Linked DNA regions of Lepisosteus oculatus. The protein of the gene in region 1 interacts with the protein of each later gene in a biochemical or structural test. Links are inferred from orthologs where the notes say so. Each region holds a gene or a part of one and is shown in the gene's direction. Other genes may lie near its edges.

Region 1 (7,744 bases):
GGAGATCCTGCGTTTCGGATTAAAGGACGTTATTTTAACATTGATCCGATGTCCTGGCTTTTTGATCATTAAAGGTGTGTGGGTATTTTTTTGCAAGAGCGGGGATGTTAACTGCAGAGTCCCGGAACATCACCCTAGCGTTGCAGTCTGATAACTAATCGAATTGACTGGATTAATTAATTAATTAGATCTATTAATTTGATGGAGTGGGTCCCCTACTGTATCTAAAAGGGAATAATTAATTAACTGGGGATTATAGCTGTGATTGCAGACGTACTTTCAATGCAATTGAAACAGTCTCTAGGATCAATGTTGGTTCCAATCTGGACAACAAACAGGAGAAATTAGAGGCACTTATGAATTAATCATACATAAATTCGGAGTCTTGTCTCTGAAAAACCCTGCGTTGTTGTTGTTTTGACTTGAGTCCCGCGCAGCCGGGCGGCCAAGGCAACACGTGCCAGCACACATTCCCAAACCTGGCGCTCCTCTGTTACGCCGCGAGCGGCGTGTCGTGTCGTGTCGTCATCCCAGTCCCGGATCACCAACAGCGTGTGCGCAAGTCTTCATTCCCGACACTCCCCGTCCCCCGCTCTTCATCACTGTCAGTCGGAAAGTTTGACTTACAGGTGATGTTTATAGAGATGCAGGGTACGAGGTGGCGCAACAGTACCGACTCTAGAAACAACCACTAGGGGGCGCCAAGTCCCCAAGGTTATGCCACCAGCTCGCCAAATATATGCTACAGTTGTGAGACGACCGCAGTTTCAATTTAGCCTTTTTATTTATTGGGAAAACAGTAATTTAGTAATAATACAGTCTATGCATTACGCACACAACCCGACGAAATTATACCTCTTTTTGTCAATTACCGGTGCTTATCTGGTATTAACCCAAAGCTCCGTGAAGTTGCCGTGGAAAAAGGTGATAAACTGGTCCCATTAAGCTGATAATGGGCAAAATTAGGTCATTAAGAGCTGAGCTGGAAGCAAAAAAAGATAAAAACTTGTTTTATTGTTTGAAGGGGGGGTAACTTCACCAAGTTCTAACCCAACAGGCGGGTAACCCGACTGCACTAATGTGGGTGAAAACGGTGTTATCCTGCTGGAAGATGCCCTCGGTATTGCGAGGACGGGTTATGTCCAGTATGGATCCCGGAATGGCTGCTGTGTCTGAAGACGAGCTAATCTAGATACACGAGATATTCATTTTTTGGTGGATGCTTTTATGCTCATTTTCATCCATTTATCTATGGGAATGTTACTGGAATAAGGCGAAGTACCCTGCTCAGAAAGTCCTGCTTAGCCACAGGGCCCCATCCCGTGACATAACATTGGACAACGTTTCAATGTTTTCTTTTAACTGTGACGTAGTGCAATTCACGCGTTTACCGCGCGCGTACCCCAGCTTGCTCTCCATGAGACACACAGACGGGGAGAGAAGCTGGGGGTCAGAGCGCAGGGTCAGCCATTGTACAGCGCCCCCGGAGCAGGGGGGGTGAAGGGCCTTGCTCAGGGGCCCAACGGGGTAGGATTTCTCTGCCGGCCGTGGGATACGAACCGGCAACTTTCCAGCCACAGGCGCAGATCCTGAGCCACAGACCTACGGGTAAGTGCATTTAAAATGATAACGATAACAGTGCCTTACACAAAGGGTGGTGGGGGTGTGGACCAAGCTGCCCAGGCAATCATGTTGAAGTCGACACCCTGGGTGCTTTTGACAGACCCAGTTAGACACTATCGAACCGGCTAGATGGGGGGTGGTCTCCTGCCGTTTGTAATCATAACCGTGATCTTCTGGCTGAAGGCGCAGAGTTTATCGATGGAATACTCGATCCTATTCACCGTCAGAAATGTCCCGCAGCTGTAGGGATAACTGAATTTACATCCTGTCCCTTCAGCTTGTCTGCGCGATGTGATTGCCGGACCGTCACTAGCTGGGATGAAAGAATGAAAATGTCGTTCACGCGTGTAGTGGAACTCACTCGGCTTCGTGTTTAAACGGGTGGGAACAGGAGGTCCGTCCACCCGATATGTCTGTGATCCCACGTGTCTTATCACGGCTCCTTCAGGGTGCGGGGGAGTCCCGTGTTCCTGGACAGCGCCGGGAAAGACAAATCCGGCGGTGTCGAGACTTAAAATGAACCTCTCCCGTTTCAGTCTCGCTCTCGCGCCCCTGGGGTTCCACAAAATCCCGAAAGGTCCCCGGTTCAGGGACTGCGTCATAAAACACCGGTCTCTCTAAGGCGCAATTAACAATTAGACTTTGCGCCGCTTTCCCACCATTTGTAATCATAATCCTTTTATTTTTCCATTTGTTTCCTATCGGAAATGTGCAGGAGACTCCTTGTGGGTTGCGTGAATCCGGCCGAACCTCCTTATTGTACCCGACCGGTTCCTTCGCGAGGAGAATCCGGTTTTAATGTAAATCGATCCAGTCCGGTCCGATACGGCGTATACAAGCAAGAAACCGTTTTAACAACGACCGATTCGTTTTTATTGAGGTTGAAAAGATACAACTTCGGCTTCGATTTATCTAAAACGTGTGGATGGCGGGGGTTAAGGCAATTAACTGAGTTCGAGCGCTTCACTTTGAGTTGCTTGGTGTGGGGGTATCGAATATGTAACTGGAATTACAGAACATGGCAGCCCACTGGCGTGGGCGCAGAACCACGGAGGAGAACCGAAATTAGTTCACTGCGGACCCAAACCGACCCAACCGATCCCGTTTCAGCGTCAATAAACCGTCGCGAGTGAATCATAACTTCACCTTCTTCAGATAGCACTGCCAACGGGTGGTCGGTTAGGGGGGGCAACACCATTACCGTATCTGTGGGACCAAAACACTCGGGAGAGGAGTGACGCAATGCTTTTCAGGCTGTAAAATCATGCCGTGATTACAGAAACTCAGAGTCCTTCCAAAAAACAAGACTCGAAACTCGATGGTCAACCGCTAAAGTATTTTTTCCTCTCTATATATGTGTCGACATATAGGTACAGGAAAGTAAGGAAAAACCATTTAGGAATTTCGTGCGATTTAAGGTTTGTCCAGCACTGGTTGCTGAGCTGAAATGTTTGGACCATCCTAGGGATGAATCCTAAGCAATTTTGGTCAAGACGCTAATATATCTTGATGATGGAAAAATCGAACATTCTCCCTGAGCACTTAATGTCTTCAAAGTGTGTTTTCACCCACTGCCTGTCTGTTCGGGTAGCCTCCTGATGGAACTTACATCGAATTAAAACGCGTTTCTGTGACACGACAGTGTTTTATCCCGCTTGATGGTAGATAACGAGGAACGGTATGTCTGTGCAGATCAACATTGTAATTGTCGCAATACGATAAGCCCTACTTGCGCGTTAGAGGTGCTGTACAGTAACACACTAATACAAGACAAAAAAGGAAATAAAAATCATCACATTTGCTTACAAAAAAACGAGTAAAACTAGACTGAGACATTAAAAGCTACAGTGAACGGATAAATAAAACTGTATACTGTGTATCTCTCTATATATACTGTTTTCCAGCTATTTCCTTTCTGAGGTTAAATAAAATATCGTTTTAAGTGGTATGAGTCTAACGATCGTCTGAAATATTCTTAGAAGTCCGTTTCCCTCAGAATAGTTCGTTAGATTTAGCGTCACATTATATCAACATACTGTAGCGTTGTTTTCCTGTAGCTGTTGTTCTTTGAAATAAAGAATATCAATTTCATCCCCAATATCTGTTTTATCAACAGTATGTCTGATTGCAGTCTGTTAAGGTAAAGTCGTCTGAGAAAGAATCCAAACTATACTTTTTCTAAACTATATTTTTTACTTCACATTTTTTTGCCATTTTTGTGGGTGTACTTTTCACACAAATTTGTATCTCGTTGTTTGTCCCATCAGCGGCCCGTTTCGAGCAATAATGTGTACGGCTGGCATTTTTTAGAATGTATTTATCTTTTTATTTTTGTGTAATGCGTGTCTGTAAAAATCGTTGTTTGGGTGCAAGCGGGGTATCGCCTTCGAACTGTTGCGATTATAATTGAGAGTTCCCTTGGAATCCCTGAGGTTACTACGGAACGTGCCTGTTCCTCTTAAAAACATCCCGTCTGGTACATCTGGCCACTCCCCGAACAGAAAAAAAAAACGGTACAATGTGTGCAATACTGTTTTTGTGTGTGTGGTGGTTGAGAGACAAAGACGCAGGAGAGACAGGAGATTGGCTCAGGCCCGCTTGGCCACGCCCCGTCACTCGCTGAGCACTCGCCGCCGTGTTTTCCTCCATGAGCTGAACACGCGCCGCCGCCGGCCGCTGATTGGCCGAGCGCGACACAAACAGCCCGGCTCGGCCAATGGGCGCGCTGTGCACGCGGGCAGCCGAGCCGGGCATCCCAGCGCCGCATGAGCAGCCGGGGTGGAGGGGAGCGAGCCGATTCACTGGCAGTATAAAACCCGACTTCCCCGTTCTCTGTTTACACCCTCTAAAGTTACCGCGGAGTACAGATGGTGCCTAGCATACGCGCAGTAGACAGAGGAAATAGGAGCACTCGTGCTTTCTAATTAGACGTGGCTAGTTCGCCTTCACTTGCAAAACTCGTCAAAAGATAAGAAATATCGACCGTGCTCGGCAGAACTGCAAGTTTGCTTGGAAGCAGCTTCTGCGAAAGTCGATCCCTTATCTCGCTCAGGTGTGACTGACTGATTGATTGCACTTTCTGGATAAAGCAAGCTTCGATCGGCGGACAATGGTGGGCATGATGAAGAAAGTGAAGACCTTCGAGGTGATCTTCAGCGACCCCAGCAAGACGGCCTACTCCAGCGGGGACAAGGTGGCCGGCCGGGTGGCGCTGGAGGTGTCCGAGGTGACGCGGGTGTCGGCCCTGCGGGTGCTCGGCGTGGGCTGCGCCAAGGTGGAGTACGCCAAGGGCAAGCAGCGGTGCCGCGAGGAGATGGACTACCTGAAGTACGAGGACACGCTGCACCTGGACGACCAGCCCACAGGTGAGGGCGAGCGAGCGAGTGCGTGTCTCGGGGAGGGGGGTGCGGAGGGGTCAGAGACGGGCATGAGCGGTGCAGGGGCTGGTTCGAAAAGCAAAACCAAAAGTTGAAAACGTCCTTTTCAAAGCGGTGCGTTTTTAGGGTAAAGGAAGCTCCCCCCCCTCAATTAAGTTTCCCAATGCAGCAGAATGACGGCTACTTTCCGTGAAGTGTTTGGTGGTTGTTGTTTCTCTCCCCCCCCAGTTTGTCATCGGGGCAAGAAAGTTTTGCTTAGTTTCGGTTTCAGCCAAGCGGCGGTGCTGACGAATTAAAAAAAAAAAAAGAGAGAGAGAGCAGGAAGGGGTTTAAGCTGTGGAAACGAGCGACTGTTTTTCCGAGCTGCCTGGACCTTCAGGGTCGGTGATAAACAACATCCCCAGCTGGGGGAAACGGCACCGGGGCCCTCTTGCTCGTCTCCGCCGCAGGGGGGCGCTGGCACGGAGATGGTCCGGTCGGGGAAAGTCCATGCGGGGATTCCCCCCTCCTGGCGTGGAAATGTGCCGGGCCCCGGGAGGGTGAATGCCTACTGTACTTGGGTAGCGCCCAGGCTGGGCCGCCGGCCGGCTGGCATTCAGGCTCGGCTGGCCCGGGACGCGAGGTCGTCAGAGCTGTTTGAAGGAAGTCCCCGTCTGTAACGACAGGGGGTGGTTAGAGAGAAGCGAGGGCAGAGAAAATCACGGCTTTGTTCAATTAAAAAACGAAAAATGCTGAAACTGCGAGGTTTGTGGGTGGGGGAGGGGGAGAAGTCGTTCCAAAAACAAATAATTAAACCGTTTTTGCTTTCTATTTCAGACAAGGATGGCTCTGTGACTCTGAGACCGGGGAACAAATACGAGTACATGTTTGGATTTGAGCTTCCTCAGCAAGGGTAGGTGTCTCTTTTTTTTTTTTTAATCTTAAAAAAAATGGCTCGTCTCTTTATTCAGCCTCCCCAAAAAAGGCCTCCGTTCTGTGGGCTTACGGCGCGATCTCTGCCCCCCTGTTCCTGCAGGCAGCTGGTGTCCTCCTACAAGGGGAAGTTCGGGAGTGTGCAATACTACGTGAAGGCCCTGCTGGAGAGACCCTCCCACCCCACCCTGGAGACCACCAAGAACTTTGACGTGGTGGAGCCCCTGGACGTCAACACCCCTGACCTGGATGTAAGTGAGACTCTCCTCCTTTCCTCCACTGGGACATCAGACTGGTTTCTCTGATGCAGTTGAAAGGGCTTCAGTCCTTCAGATTGGGATTTGTGCCTGAAGTCTTGCTGGTACAGAGGCTGACGTTCCCCTTGCGAGTGTTACTGGGCCGCCAGCGGGGCCCGAGTTGAGCTGGTCACTGGTCTGAGTGGGAGAGGCGCTGGTGGGGCTGGACTTGACCTGGGCTCTTGTTCTTCTCTCTCTCCAGTCTCCAGCAGCCGGGGCCAAGGAGAAGAAGGTCACCTGTATGTTCATCCCTGACGGACAGGTGTCTCTGAACGCCAGGATCGACCGCAGGGGCTTCTGCGAAGGTGAGTGACAAACGAGGGGAGGTGCTTCCTTTACACCGAGGGTGGTGGGAGTGTGGCACAAGCCACCCAGCCATATGGGTTGAAGCCAGTAACCTGGATTCTGTCAGTGCAAAGATGGATTAGATCCTCCAGTTGGGGACAGCAGGCATTTCTTTACACAAAGGGTGGTGGGAGAAGGGACCTAGCTACCCAGCAATGCTGTTAAGAGCCAGGGTGTCGGCTTTCAAAGACATAGCTGGATGAGATCCTGGGTTCAGTTCAGTCTCCCTCAAAGGGGATAGATGAGCTGTAATGGCCTCCTCTTGGATCTGTATCCAACCTTGAGTTCAGTCTTGACCAAAGCCCGTTGAGCTCAGTGTAGTTCTGGAGTTTTAACTCTCTCCTCTTCCCTGCTCCCCCCCCCCAGGCGAGGATATCTGCATCAGCGCCAAGTTCGAGAACACCTGCTCCCGCATCGTGGTGCCCAAGGCCGCCATCATCGCCAAGCACACCTACCAGGCCAACGGCCGCACCAAGGTCTTCCGGCAGAAGCTGTCGTCGGTGCGAGGGAACCACATCATCTCTGGCATGTGCGACGCCTGGCAGGGCAAGACTATCCGCGTGCCCAAGATCAAGCCGTCCATCCTGGGCTGCAACATCATCCGCGTGGAGTACGCGCTGATGGTGAGCACCACGCTCTCTGCTCCCGTCTGCTGGCCGGCTGGCGAGTAGGGTGACTGGTCACGTCAAGGCAGAGTAGGCACACAGGAAGTTGACGAACCAGAGGCCATTGGAGCCTGTACAGTAGTTGATTGATCCCCCATCAAAAACCAGGGTATCGGGGCTCGACAGCATGGCTGGGCAGCTTGTTCCACACTCCCGCCACTCTTGGGGTAAAGACCAGGTCGAGATTTGTTTTGTAGTTGGGAGACGAGTGCAGTGCTTCTCCCGTGCAGCCAGGTTCCAGGCTCTAATCCGGTTGCCTCTCTCCGCTCAGATCTACGTCCACATCCCGGGCAGCGACAAGCTGATGCTGGAGCTGCCCCTGGTCATCGGCACCGTCCCCTACAACGGGCTCAGCAGCCGCAACAACAGCATGTGCAGCCAGGGCGGCAGCAGCACCTCCTCCAACAGCTGGGTGTCCCTGCGCATGCCCAGCGCGCCGCCCAGCTACTGCGACATCACCCGGGACTGCAGGCTGGACACCCCTCTCACCCCGCTGCTGGACGACTACGACGAGGGCGACAGCCCC
Region 2 (7,753 bases), on another chromosome or scaffold:
TATTAAACTCTATAGCAGGTATTTTAATTAAAAGGTGTTTCAGGTAAATGTAAAAAAATACTGTGCTTTGGGACTGTCAAATGTAAGAGAGATAAGGAGGCTTTACTATTTTGTTCCTGCAGCTATCGGTGTTTTTATCTCAAAGCATTAACAACTGCTGCTGACAGAGAGCAGTGCATGTACAGTTTACCCCACAAGCATTTTAAAATTAAGATTCTTAATTGGGAGCAAGTTGTGCTGGAGCTATATACAGTATATCAGGGTGATGGATTATTTACAGCAACACGTAGTTCTGGTTGGCTTTATAGATATCCCAGTATAAGGCAGCTTTTATCTGTGAGAACATGTCATGAGTTAGTCATGAATTATTCAGACAGTGCTGTGCAGATAGCTGTCTTTTTAGTGCTGGTGTGCACGTGGGTGAAAGAGGCAAAGAGGAAGAGATGGAATATGAAAAGAAATATTCTTGACTGAATAACTGCAACAGGCATGAAAAAAAGTCAACATAAAATGGTGAGTCATAATACTGCTTGTAAACAGTTTGATTTAAAATGTCATGCATGAAACATTTGTTTCATTGCTAAAAGTAGTTCGCTTGACTACGCCTTCTGCAGAATATTGAAAATCTGTGAATAAATAAGAAAATATGGTAAATGAAAAGGGATCTTGCACTGATCTTCACAGTGAAGTACTGTAGGTCAAGTAGCTAACTGATTCTGTTTCTTCAGCACTACAAAGTAAACAGGCGACCTGTTTTGTACAACCCAAATAAATTAAAACATAACAGCACAGAATGAATGAAGAAGTACTATCCACTCACCCCCATCTAAAACTCAACCTTTCCTCCATATCTGACATAGCGGATGGTTGAACAATAGTGTTGCAGGATGTAGCCATCACATAGACTGCTTGGTACATTGTATAAAGTTCTGGACTTGGACTTCATATCTTATGACTTTAATATCAATTTCCACTTTGTAACCTTCTGTTTTCCAAAGACGCACATTTCTATTATGTAAATTGACATTACGTACACTACCCCATCAATTACTTTACAGACAGTCAAACATCTTTTAGCTCTGGTAAGTGAAGGGTTTAACAATATGGTTTTTGTTCCTGCAGGACAGAATCTGTGTGTATTCTTTGCTGGGACGAATGACTTCATGACATGAATTGCTGTATCCTTCAGTTATTACTAAATGCTGCAAATCATTTTGTCAGAGCAGGTGGACTCACGGTCATGATGTAACATGTCTCTGTGTGCATGTGTAGCAAGGGCTCCCAGACTGAGTGCCGAACGCAATCTGTGATGTCCTTTGGAAAAAAACTGGCCCCTCCCTGTAATTTCCTTTTAGGTCGAAAGAAACACAACAAAGGAGCCACTAACCCACCCTGCCCCCACTGCAGGCTTTCTTCGGACTTTAGTTTGGCTTTAAGCTATTGTTCCACAGGGCACTTATCCATCTACACCCTTACTCTTGCTCTGCTCTCCCAGATTTTTCGTTTTCTCAAGCCTCCCGTTCCGGGAATATTCTCAGAATTAAAGTAGAGGTACGTGGATTTATGTACCTCCTTGCACACCGGTCGATGAAAGGTGATTCTGTTGTGATCTTGTCTTCTTCTTCATCAGATGAATATGATCAGAATCCTGATGCTTTTAGGTTAAGTTGGCTACATTGTGTTTAAAGCAAATGCAGAAGCTCATTACACTTAGTTTGAGCTGCTACCTAGCGGAATGTAAAATTTCTTACTTTGAAAAGCTAAGTTATAACGCTTTACCATCTCTATTATACTATACTGCACCTGAGTGACTAATGAGAAACACTTTTCATTATACTATGCACCTGTGTAAGTTTAATGACAATAAAGTTGAATTGAATTGAATTTCTATACTAGAAAAAACATGTATACGGGGTAACACTTCTGCTAACTATTTTTGCTTTATAAAGACAAATTTGTGTAAATGTTGTCTACATGCTAAGGAATCCCACAACTCCTGTCCTGTAACAGCCTCCATTTTATTTCCAACTTAGCTTCAGGTTGGCTCTATATGGTTTGAATAGGCTGATGACAAATTTTATTAGAGGATTAATATTTATACTTGCTTGAGATTGATCAAAATACTTGCGGATATCACCAGGGCTGTAGGGCACTGTAACGGAATGAATGTGTGAGTTCTGAGAGATTTTTAGTTTTCATCTCAGAATTGTTTTCAATAAATGTACAAACTAAAAATGTAGGTCCAAAAGTGTATGATCTGTATTTTCAAAGGTGTATCAACTGGACTATATCAGTTAGAAATACAGGGTATCCTTCAAAATAAAATTAAAATCCTGTCTTTATCTTTAACTGCTTCATCCTGTGCAGTGTCTCACAGCTGGTACATAACCAGGACACGGGATACAATATTATTATTAATAATAATAATAATAATAATTGCTTACACTTGTATAGCGCTTTTCTGGACAGTCCAACAAGGTAGGACCACACTCGACAAGATGCCAGTTCCTCAGAAGGCACACACTCACATTCACAAGAACAATTTCAAGACACCAGTTAGACTAGCCAGAATATTATGAACAACAAAGACCATGCAGACTCCACACATACAGTAAGTCACCCACATCTGGAATCAAACCTAGGGCTCAAGAGTTGTGAGAAACCTTTGCTAACTGCTCATACTACCATGCTGCACTCATGACACCAAAAGTAACATACATTTTCAAAGTAAGCTTGTAAAGACTTCCTGTGTACACTTGGAAAGACATTACCCTTTGTAACAATTTTTCCTGTAACTTTCTTGTACAGATATATTGATTGCTTTTGAAGACTGAAGCGATACGTCAGTCGAAGATAATGGGATTTTTCAGTTATATTATTAGTAGGTTATGTTCTCCTACTAAGTTTGAGTAGGAAATTGGTTAGGTGAGAAAGAGCTTGCAGCTGTTGTCATTTTCTAGCATTTTCCTCTTCTGTACTTAATAAAATGTAGAAACCATTTGTGCAAAACCTCTTAATGTTACCTTCTTAAAGAGAGTGTTTTTTATTTATAAAGATGCATGCCCCTTTTATTTCTGTTGACCTGGCAAACTAAAATATATATATATATTTTAAGGCCCACTAGACTTTAATGATGACATGACACACCAGATTATCAGTTTCTAACCCTTCTTGATAAGTACCAGGATGACTTATAGGTAATTTACTGAAGGAAACAAAAGCTCAAAGTTATTTTTTCAGTAGACCCGGGGAGAGCTAAACGTTTTATTTTCTAATAGAAAACCTACCCCACGTTCTTAATAAAACTTCCCTATAAGCAAATAGACAAATACAGTACACTGACTGGTTGATAGCAGATCACGTGAAAAACACTCAGGAGTTCTGAGTGGAAAATAGCCTTACTCAGAGCAGATACAATGTCAGCATCGTCTTTTTCTATTATTAATGGAGCAGTCTAGGGCTTGTACAGCCTAGGCATTTACACCGGGGATTTCTACAAATGATGGATCACTCGAGATTCTTAAATAGGAAGTGTTTTTCTACCACAGGGGAAAAAAAAAACACTTAATGATCTATTTGTCTAGTTTTCTTTAGCAACAAAGTAAAAAATGGGACTATCTTAAGAAATACTAGAAAAGTAAGATGAACCGGGCACCAGAGGAACTTTTAATCGCCATAAACAAGTTTCTTGTTTTTCCTCACATGATAAGAATACCTTTTATTTAATTGACGCAGAGTGCTGCCCTGTCTGGCTGTCTGTGTGGCTCTTTAATTGCCGACATTCCTGCAGCTGGTTTTAAAATAAAGCTTATTACTGTTACTGTTAATCGCTGTTTTGTTGCTAGTTGCAGCAGGCATACGTATGCAAAAACGTGACCACCGCTTTTTCACCAGTCAGCCGGGAAAAAAGAAATTATTACAGCTGTTTATTATTTTTCATTAATAGCTTTTTAGTTTACTATTTTATTTATACTTGTGGTTGAAGTCTAAACTGTATTCCGGAGATGCGCCCGTACCCGAGGGCCGCCCCGGCTGAATATTCATATTCCTATTCGTTTTTACAACTATATTTGAAGCGAATGCCTCAGCAGACCAGCTTTATTTGTTAATTCTCTTCATGCACGTCCTCCTGTGGTCTTCAAAAAAAATGTGTCCCTTTTTGGCAGACAGTGTTACCTATGTGAAAGACGGGCTAAGCCTGTCAAGACACCGCCTCCCGGGGGGGGATATTGACCAATCACAGGCCGAGTAGCTCGCAGGCCTCCTCTCACACCTTCCTCTAAGCCCCTGGGCCAACCAATCAGCGAGGAGAAGGCTTGACGCATAAAACCCGGTTTATTTTCCCTAAATACAATTTCAGACGAGAAGTTTCAAGCTCAGGACCGGTTTGCTTTTACACGACCCGACCAGGGAAGGATAAAGGAGCCGCATCAAAACTTTCTTTTGCTTTTCCACTGATGTTTTGCGCTTCAGTTTTGATCATCGCGGCGGCTGCCTGAAGAAAGGAAAGATAACTCACACAATAAAGGACTTATTTTAATCTGTTAGACTCCGCATTATATATATATATTTATTTCGTCAGTGAAAAAAAAAACAAGTTTTAGCACAGACAGAAACGAGGAAATCGGGACTTTTTTTTTTCCTTCCAAGCCTCTACGGGGACGCGAAAGTTTCTGAACGACAGAGCAGTCTTGACGTGAGGACGGTCCTGGCTTCAACCACGATGGAATCGGGCGGCAAGGTAAAAAAAAAAAAACCCGCACCTCCGCTTTCTTGACTTTCATAGCCGCTAAAAAAAAAACAAAACCCAAAACAAAACAATGTGGACCAGTATGTTTCCCTTTAGGCTTAGTATACCCCCGTGTCGTGTCACTGGGCGAGATAAAAGCAGAGCGGTTTGCGCCCTTGGAGCACAAATGTTGAACATGTTGCGACCCATGCGGGGCAGACTGTCTCTATTGTACCGGTGCCCAGAGGAGCGCAGCCAGGGGCTTCCGGTTGAATGCTGGGAAACGGCGAGGTAGAGAATGACGCAGAGCGGCGAGGCTGAGCCGCTGCCTACGTGCGCCAGGAAACGTGACTTTGGTGGCTGGCGGTGCACTACGGCGATTAATCGATCCGCGCATTTTCAGTCCTCTTCGCCCGGGTGGTCCTGCCTTCTCAATGAAAGCAGTGCACATTTATTGGTGGGGGGGGAGGTGGGCGCCTTCTTTTACAAACCAGCTGGAGCTGCTTTCTTTAAAATAAATTGGTATATGTACCCCCCTCCACACACACACACGCGTTATTGGTTGCAATAAAAACAGAAGCGTCTACAACAGAGGAACCCAAATAAATAAATGGTTGACCGGTTAGGATGGGCGTTTCGTGGACAATTTATCTACCCCCAGTGGGAATTATTCAGTAGTTAATCGCGCTGTGTTCAATGAAGTCGAATGGCGACAATACGTGACGTACGATCAAATTCGCGATGTTGCAATGGATTCGTGCGTGCGAGTTTTATTTTTCACGAGAGAAAAAAAAAATTGGACTAGAAAACAAACTAAACGTGGCGTAATATTAAAATTAGCCCTGAAAGACGGGACGAAAAAACGATCGTGTTAGAATAATCTGTTCTTTCGTGGGTCCGAATTTGCAGGTTTAATGGATGAAGACGCACCACTGTTGTGCTGGAGACGAAGATCTTTATATCCCCAGCACACACCGGGTTATTTAACGCATAACACACCATTTACTTTTAATTTTTGTTTTTAATTTGATAACGGTTTAATTCCTGTTTAGAGTGCTGTATATACCGAACTTTTTGATACCCCAGTGCATCATACAGTGGTTTTAACAGGACGTTAAATTCCACCTAAAACATTTCACGTAGTGTATTTGGAGCAAAACAACTTTCTGAGAAATCGAATAACTAATTTTCAGTTGTACCAGTTAGTGGTATTGGTTTCCTGACTGATCTTAGTTTTTTCTGCTTGAAATAAAGACGTAGTTCCTCACAAACAACGCCTGTAAAATATTCTGCAGAAGGTTATTTCTAAATCTTACTGCTCTATGCTGGTATATTCTAGAAATAACTACGTTATTTTTTGTGGAGTTTCTCCGGTTACGGTATTAAGAACCTGCGTGTTTCTCTTTGCAACTGATGTTTTTGTTTACTGTTTTACATTGTAAAAACGGTGAATGTTTATCAAAACTGAAGTGTTGCATTGTAGGCTACTACCATAGAGGAGGTCTTAATGACATTATGGTAAATTTAAACAGCCGTTCTTATGATATTCAAATGTATTAGCGTTACTGCTTAACCGATCTAAATCTTAATTGCAGAAAAAGTATTTCTTAAAAAGCAACTTTTTCTTTTCAGTAAAAAGAAAATATTCAATCGCATATTGCAGTTGTTCAGATATTGCAGAATGTCTAGTTTTCCTGTAATCGTTTACACTGAATGTTCGGTGAAGACTGCTTAGTCATACTCACAAGTGTGGATTTACGCAACCACTTATAAAATTCATTATCAAAGGGTAAAGAAAAAACATTTAAAAAACATCATCATCATGACTGTATATTTTGTAAACAATGGTGTCATAGAAATACAAAACTGGCCTCTTGGATTTTAAGGAAATTAGAAACTTTATTCCCAGCTGAATTGAAAGATTAACTGTTAGACGTGACTACTTTGTTAGTTGGTATGGCTGATTCTTTTTGGTGGTTTGGTAGGGATGAAGTCTCTTTGTGCGTCGCTGTGGTTATCAGCTTCTTTCAGTTCAGCATCTTCCTGGGCTGACTTTAACTGAGTGACGAAGGAACAGAAGTACGTGCATTATTTGAGAGATCAGGGTACCCAAGCGTTGTATTGTAGGTTCCTGGGTTCATGTTCTTGGATCGATATGTATGTGCAGATATCAATTGCAGAAGGACATATTTACTATTCATTTGTAGAACATTTATAAAGGTATCACTCAGTTGTGATCTGAGAAGAATCCAAGATGAGGATTAGTGTCTATCTTCAAAGCACGTATTTCTAAGTCCTATAAAAACCTAATTACAACAAGCACTCAGAGAAATCAGAGGCACTAAGTGTTGAACAGACTATGGGATTGTACTACTTTGAGGGTTTCAGAAGTGTAGCACTCTAAGGAGAACCACCTGAATGAAGGGTTTCAGAATTTGAGATTCAATACACATTTGTCCAATCTGATACCCACACTGAGAGGGTAAAGGTTATCAGTTGAAAGGAACCCCAGACAAGTTAAAAATACATTTTTAAAAGGTATAATGCAATTAGAAATAATCAACAGCTAAATGGTGCTAATTCCAAAGTTGAGGCCTGTAGATGTGAAATATTTGGCATAATCAAATATTTCAGAAGGGAAGACAAAGTATCGACTTTTGTTCTGCTGATGTAGATATATCCGCTATGCAGTTGAATGGAAACTTTACATTGCATTCATCCTTGACTTTTTCTCCACCATTCACTCCATTGTTTTGGTTGTGATAGCTCGGTACAATGTCAACAGATTAGTCGGCGTTGTGTAATACAAAGCGTCGAATCATTTGTGTCCTTGGTGGAGACAAATGGGCTGTGGACAGGCTTTGACTCTTGGGCCTGCATTTGATCGCTAGGGGGGTCATATGTGTGGTTTCTGAGGCTCACCTCCTGAAAACGAGGGATTTGGTTTTTGTCCTGGAAAAACCCCAGAGACAATACTGCAGGCTTGATAATGAGAAGCAGTGTGTAAATTGCATTCTGCATATC

Evidence for each region. The genes of interacting proteins can lie anywhere in the genome.
Region 2: the proteins of txnipb (region 1) and solute carrier family 2, facilitated glucose transporter member 1-like form a complex in vitro, tested with the Homo sapiens proteins (2 studies listed by BioGRID). The link is inferred for Lepisosteus oculatus from reciprocal best matches to the Homo sapiens genes TXNIP and SLC2A1.

Annotation. Positions count from the first base shown.
Region 1 is NC_090722.1:4,355,733-4,363,476, forward strand, and holds the start of txnipb (thioredoxin interacting protein b), read left to right. Parts: upstream 1-4,450; 5' UTR 4,451-4,732; coding exon 4,733-4,988; intron 4,989-5,816; coding exon 5,817-5,892; intron 5,893-6,015; coding exon 6,016-6,163; intron 6,164-6,410; coding exon 6,411-6,513; intron 6,514-6,919; coding exon 6,920-7,176; intron 7,177-7,489; coding exon 7,490-7,744. UniProt on the Homo sapiens protein: May act as an oxidative stress mediator by inhibiting thioredoxin activity or by limiting its bioavailability.
Region 2 is NC_090720.1:7,027,202-7,034,954, reverse strand, and holds the start of solute carrier family 2, facilitated glucose transporter member 1-like, read left to right. Parts: upstream 1-4,340; 5' UTR 4,341-4,723; coding exon 4,724-4,741; intron 4,742-7,753. UniProt on the Homo sapiens protein: Facilitative glucose transporter, which is responsible for constitutive or basal glucose uptake. Has a very broad substrate specificity; can transport a wide range of aldoses including both pentoses and hexoses.